4 linked regions of the Xenopus tropicalis genome follow. The protein of the gene in region 1 interacts with the protein of each later gene in a pairwise test. Links are inferred from orthologs where the notes say so. Each region holds a gene or a part of one and is shown in the gene's direction. Other genes may lie near its edges.

What was found.
Region 2: the proteins of ube2w (region 1) and rnf111 interact in a two-hybrid assay, tested with the Homo sapiens proteins (2 studies listed by BioGRID and IntAct). The link is inferred for Xenopus tropicalis from reciprocal best matches to the Homo sapiens genes UBE2W and RNF111.
Region 3: the proteins of ube2w (region 1) and rnf26 interact in a two-hybrid assay, tested with the Homo sapiens proteins (2 studies listed by BioGRID and IntAct). The link is inferred for Xenopus tropicalis from reciprocal best matches to the Homo sapiens genes UBE2W and RNF26.
Region 4: the proteins of ube2w (region 1) and pstpip1 interact in binary tests that used the Homo sapiens proteins (3 or more experiments, as listed by UniProt). The two-hybrid records come from large-scale screens. The link is inferred for Xenopus tropicalis from reciprocal best matches to the Homo sapiens genes UBE2W and PSTPIP1.

The regions. Positions count from the first base shown.
Region 1 is NC_030682.2:121,373,393-121,378,366, reverse strand, and holds the start of ube2w (ubiquitin-conjugating enzyme E2 W), read left to right. Parts: upstream 1-1,869; 5' UTR 1,870-1,912; coding exon 1,913-1,927; intron 1,928-1,964; exon of another isoform or gene 1,965-2,012; coding exon of another isoform or gene 2,013-2,042; intron 2,043-2,827; exon of another isoform or gene 2,828-3,034; intron 3,035-4,974. UniProt on the Homo sapiens protein: Accepts ubiquitin from the E1 complex and catalyzes its covalent attachment to other proteins.
Region 2 is NC_030679.2:99,170,410-99,175,448, forward strand, and holds the start of rnf111 (E3 ubiquitin-protein ligase arkadia), read left to right. Parts: upstream 1-1,685; 5' UTR 1,686-1,848; exon of another isoform or gene 1,849-1,930; intron 1,931-5,039. UniProt on the Homo sapiens protein: E3 ubiquitin-protein ligase. Required for mesoderm patterning during embryonic development. Acts as an enhancer of the transcriptional responses of the SMAD2/SMAD3 effectors, which are activated downstream of BMP.
Region 3 is NC_030683.2:80,169,766-80,174,866, reverse strand, and holds rnf26 (RING finger protein 26), read left to right. Parts: upstream 1-1,747; 5' UTR 1,748-1,823; intron 1,824-2,550; 5' UTR 2,551-2,684; coding exon 2,685-4,019; 3' UTR 4,020-4,129; downstream 4,130-5,101. UniProt on the Homo sapiens protein: E3 ubiquitin-protein ligase that plays a key role in endosome organization by retaining vesicles in the perinuclear cloud.
Region 4 is NC_030679.2:90,439,519-90,444,627, forward strand, and holds the start of pstpip1 (proline-serine-threonine phosphatase-interacting protein 1), read left to right. Parts: upstream 1-1,755; 5' UTR 1,756-1,853; intron 1,854-5,109. UniProt on the Homo sapiens protein: Involved in regulation of the actin cytoskeleton. May regulate WAS actin-bundling activity. Bridges the interaction between ABL1 and PTPN18 leading to ABL1 dephosphorylation.

The DNA.
Region 1 (4,974 bases):
ACAGCACCAGCCCGGGGTACCGGCAGCGCTTCCTCCTTCCTGTATCGCTCGCACGCGCATGCGCAGTAGAGTGAAAAGCTGAACTTTAACATAGAAGTCGTCTTTTCACTCTACTGCTCATGCGCCTATTGTGTAGTCACAGCGAAACGAAGCAGGAAGCGCTCCAGGTACCCCGGGCTGGTGCTGTTTCCTCCTAACAGGGGCACCAGCCCGGGTACAAGGTAAGCGATTAAAGTCACTTGGGGGTCCCAACATTTTAGCCTTTCCTTCTCCTTTAAAGAAAGAAAGGTAAAAAAACTAAGGCAACAGGGTAGAAGAGTCGCATGTTATGTATGGGATATTGGGATATAATGTTATTGCACATGCATGTCACTAATTTGCGCATCCACATCTACTCAGCAGCACATATCAGAAGATGATGCAAATGATAACGCTTTATAGAGGATTATTGCATAAGCATGCTGCCACTTTGTGAAGCTTAGGGCCCTATAAATAAGACCACATCCTCATTGCCATACACAGCACCCTTTAGACTTAAGAAGCACTGCACAACTGAAAATGATTATGAACACTAAACAAACATCTGATATTTCAGTAAGATCACTGACGTTAATAGATTATATGCATTTAAATAACCCCAGATATGCTAATAAGATCACTGCAGTAAATGGTTTCAAAGAACTGCATTAGACCCTCAGACATGCCAGAAAGATCACTTCAGAAAATGGATTCGAAAAACTGCCTTAAACTCAGACATGCCAGTAATATAATCGCAGAAAATGTAACACTAAATTAACCACAGATACGTCATTAAGATCTCAGCAGAAAACAGGTTAAAAAAACTGAGGACTGAGGTATCTATCCTGACTGCTTCCAAAGGGGTGCCAAGCTGACCAGGTGCATTTACCCTGCCCAGACTCTAAAGGAGGTGGGATAAACAGCTGTTCTGTCCTCAGAGTATTACTATCGTATACCATCTGTTGGTGAGTATTTGATCTAACCCTGCATTGCTACTTGTCTTTGACAATAAATCTGTGCTATAGTTTAACTGCAAGAACCTGCGTCTATCTTTACTAAATTGCATTGCAGACAGCTACAGTGAGTTGTAGTTATACTACACCCTAGCTCTGCTGGTCACTTCCATCTAGCAAAGGCCCATCCTGTTTAAGAGAGTCACATGTAGCCCATGCTCTAATACCTATACTAGCCTGGGTTTGACTATTTTATAGCCAAATAGCGGCTACATAAATTATCCCTGTCAGAAATGATTGAGTTACACTGACCTATTTCCTTTTGACTGAAGCAGTCATTAAGCAACAACTCTTCTTCTGTGCAGTGACTAAACCTAACAGCGCTCTAAAGCTGGCCATACACGCACCGATACTAACGTACGAAACGAGGTTTCGTACGATATTCGGTGCGTGTATGGCATGTCGGCATGTCAACCGATATCGCAGGAAGCTGCTGATATCGGACAACTCGCCGATCGGCCAGGTTAGAAAATTTTGATCGGGCACCATAGAAGGCGCCTGAGCAAAATCTGCGGTCAGGGCTGAATCGGCAGAAGGAGGTAGAAATCCTATTGTTTCTACCTCCTTATCTGCTGTTTCAGCCCTGACTGTGTGTGGCGGATCTGACGATGTTTTGTGCGACCATCATCCTCATATCGCCACGTGTATGGCCAGCTTAACACAAGCTCAGGTTGCAGCGAAACAATCACTACAAGTCCATGTCCTGCACACACAGACTATATTTGCCTTTAATGCCGCACTGCGCATGCCCAGAAGGACAAGCGCTGAGCCAGTGCGCCTGCGCAGCTTTACTCTCACAAGGGCGCAGGCAGTTCCTTGTAGATGACGTAGAGTCACGTGAGCGGTAGCGTCGCCCAAGAGGGAGGGGGTGGGTTTCCATCATGGCGTCAATGCAGGTGAGTGTTATTAGAGTTTTAAGCGGAGCGACCCGGATCTTCGCGGCTGGCAGCGGAATATTACCGGGAGTGGGAAGTGGGCTCTATGGAGAGCACTGCCAGCCGTGGTTTGTGGGTTTGTTTCTGCTTCTCGTTACTCCTGACATTCTTTTCTGGCTTCCCTATCTGTGTCCTCTGCAATTACCTGCCAGCTTCAGGGAACCTTCCGCTCAGAACGGCTCCCCTTGTCTCCGTGGGGATGCGGCTTGGCAGCTCACCTGTATAGCTGGTGTGGGAGGTGCGACGCTCGGTGTGCCAGCCTGCTAACTTTACACCCCCCCTTCCTATCGATAGCCTTGCCTGCCGTAGCTTCTGGGAATTGTAGTTTGATAATAGCTGGAGACCCATAGGCTTGACAGCTCATTGGGAACATTACATATTCTCCTCTGTACCTTCAACGTTCTGTGCGGTGGGTCAGGGCTTCTATAAGTACTTTATTTTATAGCTGAATCTGGGGCAGGAACTGGCTGCTATTATGTGTAGGGCAGGGATCAGCCAGCATATTCCATTTTATTGTGTGGGATATGAATCACCCAGCATGTTCCATTTTATTGTGTAGGGTAGGAAATGCCTGGTTATACTGCATCCCCTTCCCCCTGTGTAGGACATTAAGTCCCTGTTATGTTCCAGTTCTTTTACTTGGGCAGTAATTATCCAGTTTATTCAAATCCTTTCCAAAAAGACAGAACAAGCCGGCATTTTCCCTTTACTCCTGTGTATCATTGGGATTGTTATTTTACTTCCTCTTTATACTTTGTGCAAAAATTGACTTTGTTTTTCACTTACCTTGTTTTCTCCATGTAGGGCCATAAAATAAATATTATGGTTGTTTGACATTTATTAGACATGATCTGTCCTGTATTTTGATTCTTACACTGATTTGTGGGATTATCAGTACGTGTATGCAGCCCTGACTGGTATCTATGTATCATGGCTATCAACTGGTTCTTTCATCGGAGGTTGGAAAGTTTCATATGCCGATGCATCAAGTTGGCCGGTGTATGGTGCATAGATGAAGAGCCAGAGTTCCTCTTAACTTACTGATGTTCCGAGCAGAGGAAGAGAAAGGTAGCAGTTACATCTATGACCCCCTTATACAGCTATCTGACTGTTTGGCTGATATTTTGGATACCATCTTAATAATGTAGAGAAGAGCTCTATGGACAGAATAACTTTAGTGAATCTATTAATGTCTGTTACAAGGCCCCTGTGTGCTGTTTATCACATATTACGTTCTGTAATAGACATAAATAAATTCATTAAGCAGTTATTGTGCCTGTTGTGATCTCCTCTTCATTATTAAGATTATGTGAATAAACGGCTCCACCTTTTGGGGATCGATGCGCCAAGCCTGCAAAGCAGTAAGGCTTGAGCGTCTGAGCGCCTATTGTTTGATTCATTTGGATACCATATTGGATTGACCTGTGAGACTGTTCACTGCAGTAGTTATGGTAACAAAATATTTAGAATTGCTAAGAACCTCATTGCGTTATAGTCAATTGAAAATTCCATGGGTTTGAAACACCCTGGATAGTCAAGTGGCAGCTCATACACTTGGAAATTATATACTTGACAGTCAGTTGGAATAGTCTGTTCTAGTTGGAAGGAGACATTACCTGTTTACCCTTATTATTAAATTATTTGGAAGCTTAGTCATTGATAAACCTGGTACATTATCCATATAATTATTTAAGGTTGGTGTTTAATACCGCTTTAATGCAAATTACCTTTCTTGTCATATTGACTTCTTGATAATGTCATTTATTTGATCATATTCTTTCTATATCAAGTTTAATTAATGATCTCTTTTGATCTCAAGGATACTACTTACTTGTATCTAAAGTAAGTTTGTGCATTGATCTGTGTACCTTTCAATATAGAAAGTATCTTTAACAGTTAAAATGAATTAAAACAATATATTCTTTGTAGTTTATATTACATTATAATTTTCACTATAGTTACCCCTTCAGCTCAGGTGCCATATATTATAAGGAAAAGGGCATCTGATAAAACAGTGATCAGTACTTTATATGTCCCTTTTAATAAATGTTTCCTGCCGAACAGTGTTGTAATGGTAGAGGTTGTGCTGAAGGCTCTTGGTAAATGACAGAACTAGCATACAGGCTTTTCCTCCTCCGGGCCCCAAACACAGGTGATTTTCCTGATCCTTTTATGTGGGAGTTAATGCTTTTACTTTTTCAAGGTTTTGAGTTAAATAAAGTTAGTCATGTAGGTAGAATATGTTGTAAGTATCTTGTAGTGTAAATAAAAAATGTTTATTGTGATGTGCAGAATTTGGCTTAAAGCCGAATAGACATGTTTCAACCAACAAGAGGGCCAGTCAGGACCAGTGTCTAGAAAAGATAACCCAGCTGATTTCCCGGGACACTATGCTTTGTATAGTTTGTATGCTTCTGGCCAGTACACCAAACCTTTCTTGGTTCTTAAAAGGAGATTATCCACTTACAATATTGGTACGGTAGGCACTTAGCCTTTGTTAATAAACATCACAGTAACTAGATTTAGAAAAGCAAGAGCAACATAACTACAAAATAAAAATGTAAAAATTGAAACATATAAGACTTGATATGCTCTAAATATTGTAGCCATTAGAGTAAACACACAGTGCCACCACCCAGCCTTTAAAGAGAAGGATTTTTGAAGGTCTGTAATTTTATTTAATCACCTCTTACCTGTGTTACAAAGGCATAGTATGTAAGTAGTATTGGTACACAGCACTTAAATGGATGTATTAATGGAAGAATTGGCTTCTATTTACTTCAAGGATGTCTGACAAGTAGCTGTGTTTAAGCAACAACTACCAGGAGACCATCGCAACACAACAGAAAGGACAACTTACATATTGTTTGGGTTATGGAATGTTAAGTCACATATAGCAGGACACCGGTTTTTGACCTGTCCTTGCATTCCACAAAAGGGACACTATTGCTGATATGTTTGGAGCTGGTATCTATGTATTAGTATATTTACTGATATTATAGGATACA
Region 2 (5,039 bases), on another chromosome or scaffold:
GCCACAGAAGAAGGCGGAGCTCCTATGGGAGGTACTGTGATAGGGGGACACTGTGTATAGGGGGCTACTGTGATAGGGGGACACTGTGTATAGGGGGCTACTGTGATTGGGGGCTACTGTGATAGGGGGACACTGTGTATAGGGGGCTACTGTGATAGGGGGCTACTGTGATAGGGGGACACTGTGTATTGGGGGGCACTGTGTATTGGGGGGCTACTGTGTATAGGGGCACTGTGTATGGGGGGCTACTGTGTATGGGGCGGGCTGCTGTGTATGGGGTGGGCTACTGTGTATGGGGGGCTATTGTGTATGGGGGGCTACTGTGTATGGGGGTTACTGTGTATGGGCGGGCTACTGTGTATGGGGGGGCTGCTTTGTATGGGGGGGCTGCTGTGTATATGGGGCTACTGTGTATGGGGGTTACTGTGTATGGGGGGGCTACTGTGTATGGGCGGGCTGCTGTGTATGGGGGGGCTGCTGTGTATGGGGGGGCTACTGTGTATGGGGGGGCTACTGTGTATGGGGCGGGCTACTGTGTATGGGGCGGGCTACTGTGTATGGGGGGGCTACTGTGTATGGGGCGGGCTACTGTGTATGGGGCGGGCTACTGTGTATGGGGGGGAAAAACTGGTACTTAGTTATAACTCACTTATAACTGACTGCCTTCTCTCTATATTTGTATTTTAATGTAGGAGTTGCTGTATTGTTTTCCTTAGGTCGTTCAGTATGAGGGTATAGCACATTTGCGTCTGCTCCCGCCATTTGATCTATATAAAAGGGGTATTTTTTTAAAAATGGGGTGTGGTAATTGGGGCGTGACCACAAAAGGGGGCGTGGTCAAAAAAATTTGCCGCGCTGCGCGCGCCAAATCTTTTTGTCCCTCTTTTCATTTTTCAAATGTTGGGAGGTATGCCTTAGTGTGTTCATTAAATGTTTATCCTGTTCGGCCCGTCACCTAAAGTGTGTTTTGGATTTTGGCCCCCTGTGCAATTGAGTTTGACACCCCTGGCTTAGAGGGTCTTCACAAATTCTCAAGCAGAAAATGATGTTTGCCTGTCATTGAGGGTGATGCTACTGTTCTCATGCAGATTACACCGGCTTCAGAACATCCTTGCACTAATCTGTATTATTTACTCATCAACCTTATACTGTTACATTTATATCTTATATATACCGTATGCTGTGGGTGGGTCCCTGAAGTGACAGAAGCACAGAGCATGTGACCTGAGTCAGCAGAAAAGATGGGGCATTGATATTCCCTACTAATTGGCTGCAGTTGTCTTGGGCTGGTGCATAAGCTTAAAATATAATTTACAACATTTCTGCACTACTTAAGTTAAGCTTTAGTTGTCCTTTAAGTGCCAGGACTAGATATGTTCTATTGGTCCAACAGTACAAGTGTCATACCTGAGGTAAAGCTTACTATGGCTTACAAGCTTAAAAGATGTAATGCAAGGGTTCATAAACTAAAAGTCTGACTTTTAGGGGAACGCCTAAAAGTAAATTAGAGTTGCATTTGGGAAAAATATATATATACTCTTAGAAATATATCAGCGAGAGCTGACACCATCTCCTAGTGGTAAATATCCTGCGCACATCAGCGCTACCACACCACGTAAACAACAAGCGAGTCGCTGAGGAGGGAGGCGCTAGCAGCCCACGTGACTGTACCATCCGGGTTTTGCGGCGCAAGCATTCGACGTCACGTGACTCGGCGGCATCTTAGTGTCCAAAGGTAGCTACCTAACATGGCTTCCTTGGCCATTACGACTGATCCAAAGTGAGCTAAAGATTAGGAACCTCGACGAGTCCGGAGTGACTAACGTGCTCATGTCCAGGCTGAAGCAGGTATGTGCTGCGGGGCGGGCTCGCTACTGCAGTCGGGCTTCTCGGGCGGGCCTAGCGAGCTAGACGCTTCGTATTGAGGGAGGTATGATAACTGCTCAACATCGCATCTTTTACATTCATTTCCTGGAAGCCTTGGTTATTTATATATAATCAGGATTGTATTATATCTATATATATATGGATGGTTAATATAGGCTTGACACTAGTATTATTATCTTAATGAATGTGTTCGCAGGCTTCTTGCCACTTATGTACAGTATTTGTATTCATGGCCATTTGTTTTGGTTCTGTATGGTGAAATGTATTTGTACCTGATTAAAATGTAAACACAATTTCTCTCCATGAGCAGCTCGTATTAAGGGAATAACCATCATACATGAAGAGTGCTATTGATCTGGAATAGGTTCCCAGTTAGAAGAGACACAATCTCACAATTACATTTTCAACTTTAAGGGCAATAACCGATAAGGAATTTAGTTGTGCAGTTAAGTGATTTAACTTTTATATCTGCAATGATTCTCATTATCCACAAACGGAGGTAATTTGTAGGCATTTTGCCATCGCTGCAAACCATTGGGGACAAAATGCCACATCTGTCATTGTCCTTAAAGGGAATGTGTTCTTTGGATAATTTCTTGCACTTAAGCTACTTCCTGTTCCTGTGCTTCTTGTTTGGATCTTGTTTTGGATATTCATCAAGGGGCATTTAAAATGATAAATGTTGAGTTGGCAGTGCAGTTACATATCAAAACAAATCGTATCATTACTTTCATTTTGTAACTTATAGGTTCCTGTTCTAAGCTGTTTGGTTGTTACTGGCAGCTACACTTGTGCTGTTTAGTAACTGTATTTGTAAGTAAGCTCTCAGATATTTGAAAAGAAATACTTGCATTTGCATATCCTGGTTAGTTTCGAGTTCTTATTAAAGGACAAGGAAAGCCTGTTTTGCTGAGGTGTACCAAAATGTTAGGAACCCCCCGAGTTGATTAAATCACTAAGTTTTTATGCAGGCCATTGCTCCTTTTCGGTGGAAAATGTACCAGCCCATGGAAAAACTAAGGGGCCCATTCATTAAAGCACGAATTTTGGGTGGTGAAAAGCACGATTGGAAAAAATGTGGAGTAACCACAATAATTTCTGATGTTTGAAAATGTCAGTTTCTTTTCCCGGTCGTAAGAAAATATCGTGGTTGCGATCCGAAAGTCACAACATTTTTGGATCCAAACAATCGTAAATGGCGCGAAAACCTTTCTGGCTTTGAAACTTCAATGCATGATTTTGGAAGCCTTCCATAGGACTCAATGGCACTCTACAGATCCAACCTGGCCAAAAGATAGTCACTATACCAAAGCTTGAATGAATTCCGCAATGGTCGTAGTCTTTGCGAAAAATATGACTTTTTCATGGAAGTTAACGAAAAAGTATTGCAGTTTTAATGATATTATCGTGGTCATTATGAAAAGTTCTATAAATTAGAAAAAAAAAAAATTCTGAAAATAAAAATTTGTGCTTTCATAAATGGGCCCTTATGTGTTGGCCTAGTGTTTACTTACCTTGCAGTCATCGGCTCATTTTAGGCAGAGAGAAATACATCTGTTTGGAAATTAATAGTCTTGCCTTTACTAGTAATCTATAAAAAGAATATTAGTATTTATATTGCTATGCAACATGTGACATTTAAGATCTTTTCTCCAGGCCCTCAACTATGTCTAAATATTGGACAAAAAGCAGTTATACAAAAGCTTTGACATGTAGGTGAATAATGTTCTATAATTCATACAAATAGAGGAATGTGGTCATTTAAATAGCTTAAAGTGCCCCTGTCCCAGACCTTCAGCTTAAAGGAACAGTTCAGTGTAAAAATTCAACTGGGTTAAATGGATAAACTGCACAAAATAAAAAATATTTGCAATATAGTTAGGCAAAAAATGTAATCTATAAAGGCTGGAGTGGACAGATGTCAGCTCTCTAACCTCTTGGTTAGTCAGTGACTTTAGGGAAAGGGGGGGGGGGGGGGGGTTTGGCACTTGGGACATAACTGTTCAGTTAATTTGTGAGTATGCAGGTCGGATTAAAATGCAAACTAACTGAACAGTCATGTCCCACATCCCCCGCCCCCTTAAGTTACTGACTGCTAACAGCTTAGAAAGCTGTAAAGGAGGAAGTAGTGATCTGGCCATTATGTTGGACATCTGCCTGCTCCAGCCCTTATAGATTACATTTTTTGGCTAACTAACTTTATTTAAAACATTTTTTATTTTGCGCAGTCTATCTATTTTACCCAGTTTAATTTTTACACTGAACTGCTTTAAGGAGATATCCAGTTTAAATTTTACAAAGATAGACTGGCACCAAACTGGACCACAATCAAATATTGCTGCTTAATAATTTCATAAAAAGTTTCAACACCTTTTAACAGTGCTGGGGAGTTTTGTGCCTACATGGGGCACTTAGTCATAGGTTTAAACGTCTTTGTTTCAACTCGTATTACTTTTATATGAAAGAGGCAGCAATCGCATATATCTGTTACAGTATTTTTGAATTGTAGACACCAGCAGTTTCCCAACTCCTGAATTCCTCATTTATGATCCTTTGTATCTAAATTCTAGTGTGTTACTCTGTTAACCATCCTTATTCTCATAGACCACTTGCCCTTAGCTAAGAGTGTTGCTCAGCATATAGTTGATAAGTTCAGGAACATATTTCATATGCCTGCTAGTAGCATAGGGGCTTTTCGTTGCCTGCATGACATTTGGAAATGCAGTGAATGAAATGCTGTGCACAAGTATGGATGACTTCTGTGTTACTGTCTGATACCTGCAGCCATATGCCATATGTTGTCCCCAATATTGACTAACAGTTCTACTGTTTGAGCTGTTATGTGGTTAAGAAGTTCTGAAGGTGGCCATACACCTTACAATTATGATCTTTCCTGCAACCATTTGTCTCACCTGATTGACAAGACGACCGATATCCGACGCTCTGACATCGGTTGTGTCGCCAATGTGCCATACACGCACCGAATATCATACAAAACTATGTTTTGTTTAATATCAGTGCGTGTATGGCCACAATAAAGCTAATATTCTAATATTGTGAGCTAACATTGTTTGTTCTTGGCTTAAGTTAAGGTGGCTAAGATTTAAAGGACACCTATAGCATCATTAAAAAAAACCTAATCTTTTAGGCAA
Region 3 (5,101 bases), on another chromosome or scaffold:
TACGTCCACGGATCTAATGTTTTCCCACCTTTTAACCCGTTTTGTTGTGGTTCCACCAATTTTAATGTATCTCTAGGGGCTTTATTCCTGGGTTTTACATATGAATTTCCCGCATTTTACAATGTTTTATGCCTCTCCACAGCAAATCACTTAATTTTAAGGTGAAAATACAGCTTACTTTAGAAATCAAAGTTTCCCCCATATCTTGTGATCACAGGCACTATCTTAGGAAGGTCAGCATCACCATTATTGCCTCATATGCACAAGAATGAGGAATTTGTAATTGTGCAACAGAAACACATGTAAAAGGTGCAGATCCTGGTTAAAAGGGTATAGATTTTTGTTTTAGATGGAACAATACAGCTATGTACAGTGTTCTTTTCTGCATCTTTTTATTAATTTATAGTGATATTCAAACTTTTAGCAAAGACATGCATTAAAGGAGAAGGAAAGTCATTTTGGCATTTTACTGCCAATAGATTTGCCACATTAGTGCCACCTAGAACACTATATTTATTCGGCAGCAAGCTTTATCATTCCTGAGTAAAGAGTCCTAGAAGCTTTCTCTGATTGCAGCTGCCATTTTAGCTTAGTGTTCATAGCTTCCTCCTTGCAGTCTAGCCGTTATAGCTCAGATCACGCATTCCTTTACGTAAACCTTTCCGATAAAGCTTACTTAGTTTTTACCTTTCCTTCTCCTTTAAATGCAAAATGTTTTACAGTACTGTATGAGTTTAAAGTTGTTTAGTAACTGCTAAAACCTGTGAAAATAACACTTTTGCTACCTGGCAGAAAAAAAGCCTAAAATAAAATATTGATGTTCAAGCACATAGGCTGCATTTATTCCAGAGAGCACACAAGGTCTACACAAGTGGCTGGGTATCTTGTCTGCAGGAATACTTAGGGCAGTGGCACACGGGGAGATTAGTCGCCCCACCACAAACCTTCATAACTGTGGGCAACAAATCTCTCCGCAATGCCATCCCACCGGCAACAATGTAAATCGCCGGTGGGATGGCATATGCGTTGCTAAGATTCGGGAAATCATGGGATGGCATTGCGTGGAGATTAGTTGCCTGTGGTAATGAAGATTTGCCATGGGGCGATTAATCTTCCCTGTGCCATTGGCCTTAGCCTCAGCAAAATGTAACTGACCTTTGATATTTGTGCCTTTTGCACTGGAATAAATCATTGTTTGAAAATTACCGCCATTATAATTGTGACATCATGGAGGCAAGAAATGGGCAGAAAGTGGGCATGACAACCGCCATATAGCTGCTTGTCATTAAGAGTGCGTCAGAAAGCTTAAAAATGCTTGTTGTGGCAGAAACTTCGGGGGCAGAGACTCTGGCGATAGAAGATATTGGGTGCAAAGTTCTTTTGTGGTTTGCTCCCTGGCAGGAAACAATCTCCAAGCAGATAAAACAAATGAATTGCACTTGGGTCAAATAACGTATTTATCTTTGACCCCTGGCACAAACAGGAGTTCAAGCAATCAAAAATAAATATGAATTGCTTTAGGTAAAATACTGGAAGAGGAGGTCGTGGTGCCGGCTCGTACTGCTGCTAAACACCAGTTTCTATTCTCTGCTCCCTGGCACAAGTCAGAGCTGTGGGCAGAGCATTCCGCCATATGCCTGCATTAGAACTCTCCCGCCCCCTACTGGCGCACCTCGCGTTACTACCGATGTATAAGTGAAAATCGCGACGTCGGAATCTCGCGAGATTATGACGCAATTGTGAGCGCGTCCGATAGAAGCCAAGGAGCGGGACATATAAACAGCTATACGGAAGTGAGTGTCGTAAAATCTGGCCTTTTGCAGGTATGCCAAGCATTTATTCCTTATTGTATTTGGTAAGAGATGTCTGTGTTTTCTTTGTCCTCACTGCTCCGTTCTGGTAAGACTGGAATGAGTGGTTGTGCTGTATGGCTTTTCCTTAGTAGGTATTAAGGTATTGATGCCAAAGATTTCCCAAGTCTTACCAAGTAATAATAACTACCGCACGTTTGTTTGCATTACTCATAATGATGCTTTATATCAGAAACTGGTAAATGGCGGTTGTTGTGACTGGGGGAAGCTGTTGGTGACCTCCTGCCCTGCCTTCCGAAAAGCCTGCACTTTGTTGTGTATCCCATTGACGGCAATAATGGACTGCCACAGTTGTTTCTCTGTTCACACTAAACCACCACAACATTGACCTTAAGGTGGCCATACATGCACCAATATTATTGTACGAAACAAGGTTCCATATTGTATTCCGTGTGTGTATAGGTGGTCTTACACAGGCAGCTTTCTGCTGCCAATTTGGGCCCGTCAGAACGATTTGGCAGCTTATCTGCCCATTAGTGATGTGCGGGCCGACCCAGTGCCCACAAGTTAACCCTCAGGTCGGGCAGCTTCGGGTCGACCCCACCCACAAACAAAAAGGATTTGCTACTTTAAGAACAGTTGGAGGGCCATAATCTTTATATACCTACACTGCATTATAACAAAATCAGCAATACAACATTTTATGTTTAATAGCTAAACCGCTTATGTTTTATTGCAGGAAGTAGAAGAAAATAACTATGATGGAAGTACTGCCTATTATCTGGCCCTGGAGATCCAAGTAAATGGCATGTCCATGAAGGGGAATTCTTTCCCCTATGTCTCACCCGCTAACAGCTTCATACTTCTTCAGACATGCAGGGAATCATTCTGTTCCTCAATGGGCTTGGCTGGACCCTGGACATGTTGTTCCTGTTGCTGGACTTAAATTACATGCTTGTTTCCTCTGTTGTATCAGTTTTGTGTTGGACCATTTGCTTTATCTTTAACCTTCCCTGGACCCTGACCAATGGCATTCTTCAGTTGTGGGAAGCTGTATTGGGATTTGTGCTTATGGTTGGTGATTCTTCCTGCAGCCTTGCACTGGGCACAGTGCAGACATTAGTGGATGCTTTATGGGGATGCCTTGCTGGTTTAGACAGTTTGAAGTTGATATGGAACTTGTTGTGCCACCTACTATTCCGCAGTAGGGAGCTGATCCATCGAGGGCTGCTGAATATCACATTCTCTGTACAGACTTTTCACAGGAATTTCTGGGAAGCATTAAGTATCACTGGAGGTTTGGCAGCTTACTTGGTTAATAGCCTGGTAAACATATGTCTTATTGCCATCCAAAACATTTTATCAGCTGCAGTGGCTCTATGGCTTTCCATGGTCAATGTCATCTTAATGGGAGCAGAACTAATGTTTATGCTGCTGTCTCAGTTTTCCAACAGTGCTGTGGCAGTGGCAATTCTCTTGTGGACGCCTTGTCAACTGATTTTAGATGGCTTTGCATCACTTAGTAGGGGAGTAGGAATAATATTTTATCAACACCTGTACAAGATTCTTATATTTCTGCTTCTCGCCATTATTTGCAGAATCATTTTTAGACCTTCCCCTGCTGTACGCCAATTTCAGTTGAAAGTAATTCAGATATACCGCATGGCCCTTGTGCTTGCCTGGTCACTGCTGCATTGTGAGGTTTTGAGAAGGGTTATTGCAAAAAGTGCTCAGATAATACGAATGTTTAGAATATATGGAGCAACCCTGGTCAGAGGATGGAACTTGAGAAGAACCAGGATACAAAATCCACCTGCTAGGCCTGCCACTGTGCAGAATCCAGCACGAATAAGGGAGCGGAACCAAGTTCCCATGAGAGAGCAAAATCCGCCTTTGAGACCTATTCAGAGCACAGTTCCTAACAGGGTACAGAACACACAACCTGCAACACACATTCCTCAAGCCAGCTCAGCATTCACAAAGAGAGGAGAGCCCTCGCAAGATCCATGGAAGTTACTGAAGCAGCAGGAAGAGAGCAAAAAATGTGTTATTTGCCAAGATGAAAATAAAACTGTGCTCCTTTTGCCTTGCCGCCACCTATGCCTCTGTGCCTCCTGCACAGAGATCCTTCTGCAGCAGCCTGTCCATCAGCGCAACTGCCCACTGTGTAGACAGATGATTCTGCAAACTCTAAATGTCTATATCTGACCATCCTGCAATGAGTTATCACTATGCTGGACACTGACTTGGATTACACTGACCTAAAGGATTTAAATAGGTTGAGAAAATGTGAAAAATTAAATATTTTGAAATGTTTACCAGGACTGCCTTCTTTTAAGCCACTGCAGGACATCTGTTATGGCAATTCCAAAGATGCACAAATGCATGAACTTCCTTACTTTCAACGTGCCTGCTGAGTTTTTAAATAGTTCATTGTTCTATAACTTATTTTTTGGACAATGGTGGCATATAATGTCAGTAAATATTAATGAATGTATGATGTGATCGCGCACAACTTAATGATTGTATGATGTGGTAGCGCACAACAGTGTGTCTCTGACGTTACTGATTACCTCGGTGTAACACATTTCTTGCTATGGGACCATAAACTGTATTATCTTCATTCACTGTTTAACAAAAGTTGTTAAATATCATTTCAATGTATATGTTGAATTTCCATGAAGATAAAAATGCTCTTTATTATCAGGAAACATTTGATGAGAACTACTGTATGTTTTGGTTTCCAGTTTTGCCATGGGGAAAATATATAGAGTGTGAGGTTGTCTGTGGGTGGTAAGGGCAAAACCTAAATGTCTAATTCAGTTATGTCAGAAGCAAAGATATTTTAGGACCAATACACCTTTGCAGCATAAAGCACAAATGGCAGACAATGTTTCACTTTGTTAGTAATGACATCCCGGTGTCTGACAAATACAATTACATGCATTCTATAAAGACTCTGAAAGTAATGGTCTTAAAAGTACCACATTCCGTTATAAGCATCTCTATAATTATTTCTTCCCACTTAGACTACGTGCTTTCTTTGCTTCCATCAAGGTTATTGCTAAATGTTAAAGGCTAACCGATTAAGTAGCCAAAATGTCTCTTTGTACAGCTGCTGGATTTAGGGGAATGGTTTTAGTAAATTTTATTCTCAATACTATACTTGTGCACTTAGCAGTCAGGCAATGCCAAGTCTAATGCTATTTAATGGGAAAACAGGCAATACATTAGTGCCTGCCATTAGGGGAATAATTTGCAGGGTAAAGAAAGGATAGATGTGCAGGTAA
Region 4 (5,109 bases), on another chromosome or scaffold:
AGTCAGTGCAGCGTTTCTGTAAGTGCTTATGGCTGTATTTACATAGACTTTTTCGATAAAGCTTACTTAGTTTTTACCTTTCTTTCTCCTTTAAGCTACAGAGATCCAAATTGCAGAAGACCCCTTATTCAGAAAACCCCGGGTCCCGAGCATTCTGGATAACAGGTCCTATACATTTACTAGAGTCTAGCAGGCTAATGAGGGGATGGCAAAGTGTCAGCTGCAAATTGTCTGCATAGAGGCTTATATTATAATTCTTGTCTTTTTTTTTTTTTGCTGTACTAAAGATCTCCAAGGACAATATCAGAGGGGACAATGGGCAGCCCTGCTGCATCCCTTTATTAATAAAATAAAAGCCTTTAGACAGCTGGTTTCTTACTGCCATTTAAGGGGAAGCAAATTAAGCAAATACTCCAGGACCAAATGTTAAGGAAGTTAAAGGCTTTAGTGATTAAAAAAAATGCTGCAAAAAAGTCAATTTACATATTTTAAATGTTTACCAAACTCAAAATTTTGAGATTTATTGATTAAAAATTACTGCAAATTTGAAACAAAACTGGTGAGCTTCGCTTAAAGTAAATGGGAGGGACTTTTAACATGCAAGCTACTTTATAATTAGAGTTTTTTTGTTAAGAAATTGCATTTTTAAAAATGAATGCAATAAAGTGTTTTTTTATGGTGCACAAGGTTTCTTCATTTTGCAATCAACAATCAGTGTTTTAAATGTGAGTTTTACAATAATCTACTGGAAATTTGATAACTACAGCAAACTGGTAAGTGAAACCTTTACTTTTGTCTTTGCCCTGTTTAGTAAATAATAAACATATCTATTTCTTAAGATTATAATAGGCAAAAAGTAGGCTAATAAAACGCCTCATTCATTGAGTTAGTGTTGAATGAGGCCATTGTAATGCAACATTTGCACACACTGGCACATAAATATATGTAGCAAAAAAATCATTGAGCAGATTTATTTTCTAGTAACACTAAGGGCTTTGGCACAAGGGGTTAGTTGTGATCTGTGATGACAGTGAAGCTGTTGCCGCTCACCCAGTATCATTTACCATCCAAGTAAATTGAAAGCAGTCCAGGTTGTGGAGTTATTGATTGCTGCCACATATCGAATGTGAGCAAAGGTTTGGTTATCTGATAAGGAGTAAAGTTTTTTTTAGACAAGTCTTTGTTCATGACTGTGACCGTCTATGCACATAGACTTCCTGCCTCATAGTGTGCAGTCTATAGCGTACTAAAACAGCTTTTATAAACATGACTACCAAACCTCCCAACATTTGAAAAATGGAAAATGGGAAAAAAAGAAATGCCGCACGAAGCATGGCAAAATATTTTTGACTACACCCATTTTTGCGACCATACCTTCTAAATACCACTCCTATTTTACTAAATTTGGCAGGTTAGTAAAAGTTTGAACACATTTCTGGGGATTTGGGGTCTTGTTATATATATTACTACAGTTTTGCTAATGAAGGTGAAATTGACCTTTAAGCTGCAAGTCTCAATTCCCTCAAGAGACCTGTTTAGCTTATTAGTTACAATTGTATCTCAGTGCAGGTGTGGCTTGTTAACTTTCTGGGCTCTCTGCCAAAAGCCCACTTATTTAATTAAGTCTGAGAAACAATGGATCTAAGTGCAGGTGAAGCTTGTTAAGATTTCTGGGCTCTCTGCCAAAAGCTACTTTTTAATTAAGTTTGTTTTTTTAACTCAGTGCAGGAGATCAAGGGGAAAGAGGGACTTTTCAGTAACAATCTGGGACTGTGGGCTGAGCTGTTAAAGGAGGGACTGTCCTGCAAAAATAGGGACAGTTGGGAGGCCTGGACTACATTCATTAAAATGAGGTACATAAAAAGTTTACATGTTTACAATGATTAGATGTTTACATGATATTCCTCCGTGTTCATAGTACTAACTAACTCAAAGCTTGCAATTCTGCCACTTTTTAAACAGAACATCAATGGGTTGGGATCAAGGCAGTCCATTTGCCATTAGGAGTCACAGCACACAACCCCCTCTCAAGACTCAACTCCTTTTTAAACCATACATACAGCAAGAAAGAACAATATATTCAGTCCCTAATGAAATATGGGGAATGCTTGCTGTACTTACATATATTGGTAGGTAGAGCAGCCCCTATTTTTATTCTTTCTTCCATCCATTCAGTGTGTGCTTCTCTGACAGTCTTTGGCATCTACAGTTCACTTTACTCCATACTCCTACTAAAATACTCCCCTTACTCCCCATCCCTTCTTCATTCTATAAATTTTTCATTCTCCTGCCATAATGGTGCCCTTTGATTTCCCTTTTTCCCTTCACCCTTGGCTTTCAGGGCTGTCTAGCTGGCCACCCGAGTGGTGTTGCAAAGTAAACTGAAAAAACTTCAGATTCATTGTTTTTTTTGCCTATGTGTAATTTGCTGCTGAAAGCCTTAGAGATTGTATAGGTCCTCTTAATTCCTAAATAAGCATCCTCACCATCTTAAATTTGACACAGGTTGCAAAGTTTAAGGACCCCTCCATTGGGAACCATGGAAGCTGTAAGGCTGGAAAAATATTGCAAAACATTATTTGAGAAAAGAAAATCATTTATATGGGTTGATGGTCCCTTTGACCTAAAGGGTCTCCTGCAGCTGCACTGGCTGCAATATCCTATATATCCTACTATATCCTATTTTCCCACAAGATGGAGTAGTTGTCCACAAAAATATCATAAAACAGATAAGTCATTGTCCCTCCAATTAACTTATTTTTTGAAAATGGCTTTCTTTTCACAGTCAGTATTTTGTACGTGATTTCGACTTCCTTCATTTTTAATTTTCAGTTAGTTTAAAGACATTGGTGGAGTATGTCCTGCCTTTTTCAAGCCTGGAGTAAGGAAAGTCAATGTTTTTGACCCGCTAATATGCAATTTTGGCAACCTGTGTGTAAGATTTAGTGCAAAGTCTTTAGGATTTTATTACATTGCATATGTGCAAGTCTCCTCAAAGTCAGCACAGAATAAACCCATATTCCTCAGCATTTAACTTTTTTTAACCTCCCTGGCTATAGTTCAGGTTAGTGCTTAGCGTCAGTAACTTGGTTGCCCCCTTTAAATTATTTTGGTGCATGTTGCAAAAAAGATGGTTTAAGTTCAGGTTTGGTTTGTTTTATACTTGCTTATCACTAGCTAGGTTTTTCCAACTATAATGCACGCTGAACTACAAGTAACAAGAGAAGAGTGGAACAATGCACAGTTAGATAAAAGATCTACGTGTTGTTCTGTGAGATGTAAAATGTAAGATTCAGACCCAGACTTTAAAGTGAATCTAAAACCGAATGGAACTAGCAGGTGTTCAGGTTCTGGGTCATGTTTGGATTCTTTTTTTTTTTTTTTTTTTTTAAACTTAAATTGTATTAAAGACTCTTTTTTTTAAAGCGGACCTGTCACCCTAAGAAATAAGTCCAAATTATTTTCTATATTGTTAGTTGAGCAAAATAAACTTTACTTACTCTATATAAATAATATAAAGCTTGTTTCCTTCCGTCTTGGAATTACTCAATCAAAGCAAGCAGGCAGGCACCATTTTGTGGACACTGTTATTAAGGCAAGCTTTGTATCATGCCAAAATCTTGTTTATGTGATAGAATGGGGGGCCTGATGCCCAGGCCCACACACTGGCTACACAGTTAGATAAGGAGGAGGGAGGGGAGAAGTGAGATGTATATGTTATATGTCAAGTTTACTCTTTATTATTATTGCTAGGCAACTTTGGGGAGCCTTAATGAAAATCCACCCAAGTCTAGGACTGGCACAAATTGAGTTTATACATGTTTGTACAAACAGTGTGACCAAATGAATGGAGGTATTTCCCCTTGCTGCTTGTAGGGTCAGTTATTCTTTTCTTAAAATGCATTTATATCAATCCATACTCATGGAATGCTGAGAAATTTTACACTGTATAATACACCAGCACTCCATTTTTTGGTTTTATGCATTAGAGTGCTGGCACTATATGAACTGATATACTGTATATATATTGTATAGTTTCTTTCATATGTCACTATAGAGACCTGTTACATGGAGATCAGTTTATTGTAACAGAAAAAAATACAAAACATATCTAAACACATGAAGGAGTATAACGGAAATTCCACTCCAGCAGCATGAATGTAAAATGGATAAATCTCAATAGTACAGATAATTTTAATCATAAACATCCTTATATACTCCATATAGGACATGTGGCTATTTAAAGGAAAACTATACCCCCAGAATGATTACTTAACGAAGAGATAGTATAAATAATACTTACTGGCCTATTAAATTTTCTCACCATATTTCAATATATATATATATATATATATATATATATATATATATATATATATATATATATATATATAGCAAGACAATGAGCCGCACACACAGGGACTTTGTTAGAAAACAAAAAAATGTAATGAAAAAGATCTTGCTATACACATGGTTTTTGCAAGCACCCGTGGCATTTGATTATTATTAGGGTGTGCTCTGTTCTTTTTTGTATATATATATATATAATGAACAGAGAGGAGCACACCCTTCACTAAACCAAATGCCCTGGGAGGGTGCAGGTAAAACATAAAATATAAAGAACGGGTACTTCACACACAGAGACTTAATGTAAAAGAAAAAGTGTTTATTGAAAAAAAGCCAACGTTTCGAGCACAGTCTGTGCTCTTTCTCTATACGAAAAGGCAGGCACTTACGTGTAAGAAGAATACTTCGCCTGGGTGCAGTCAAGGAATATGCATAACCACCGATGAAGAAAATCTCGCACTTCTCAGGACTTATCATATCAGTAAAATTTTTTCACTGATATGATGATGAGTCTCCCGCAATAAAATATTTTACTGATATGATAAGCCCTGAGGAAAAAGTTCCCCGTATGACTGGTAGTAAGTAACTCAAAGACTGCTGTTTTTCAGTTGTACTCTTGTGCATGGATTAATTCATATAACTGCTCCCAATCAACAAGTGCAGTCTGCAAAAATGGTAACTTGAAAGAAGGGCTGGCTGTATTTGGCAAATTGTTCAGGATGATGTGTTTGACCAGGGAGGAAAGCTCTTTAGAGTTGTTGA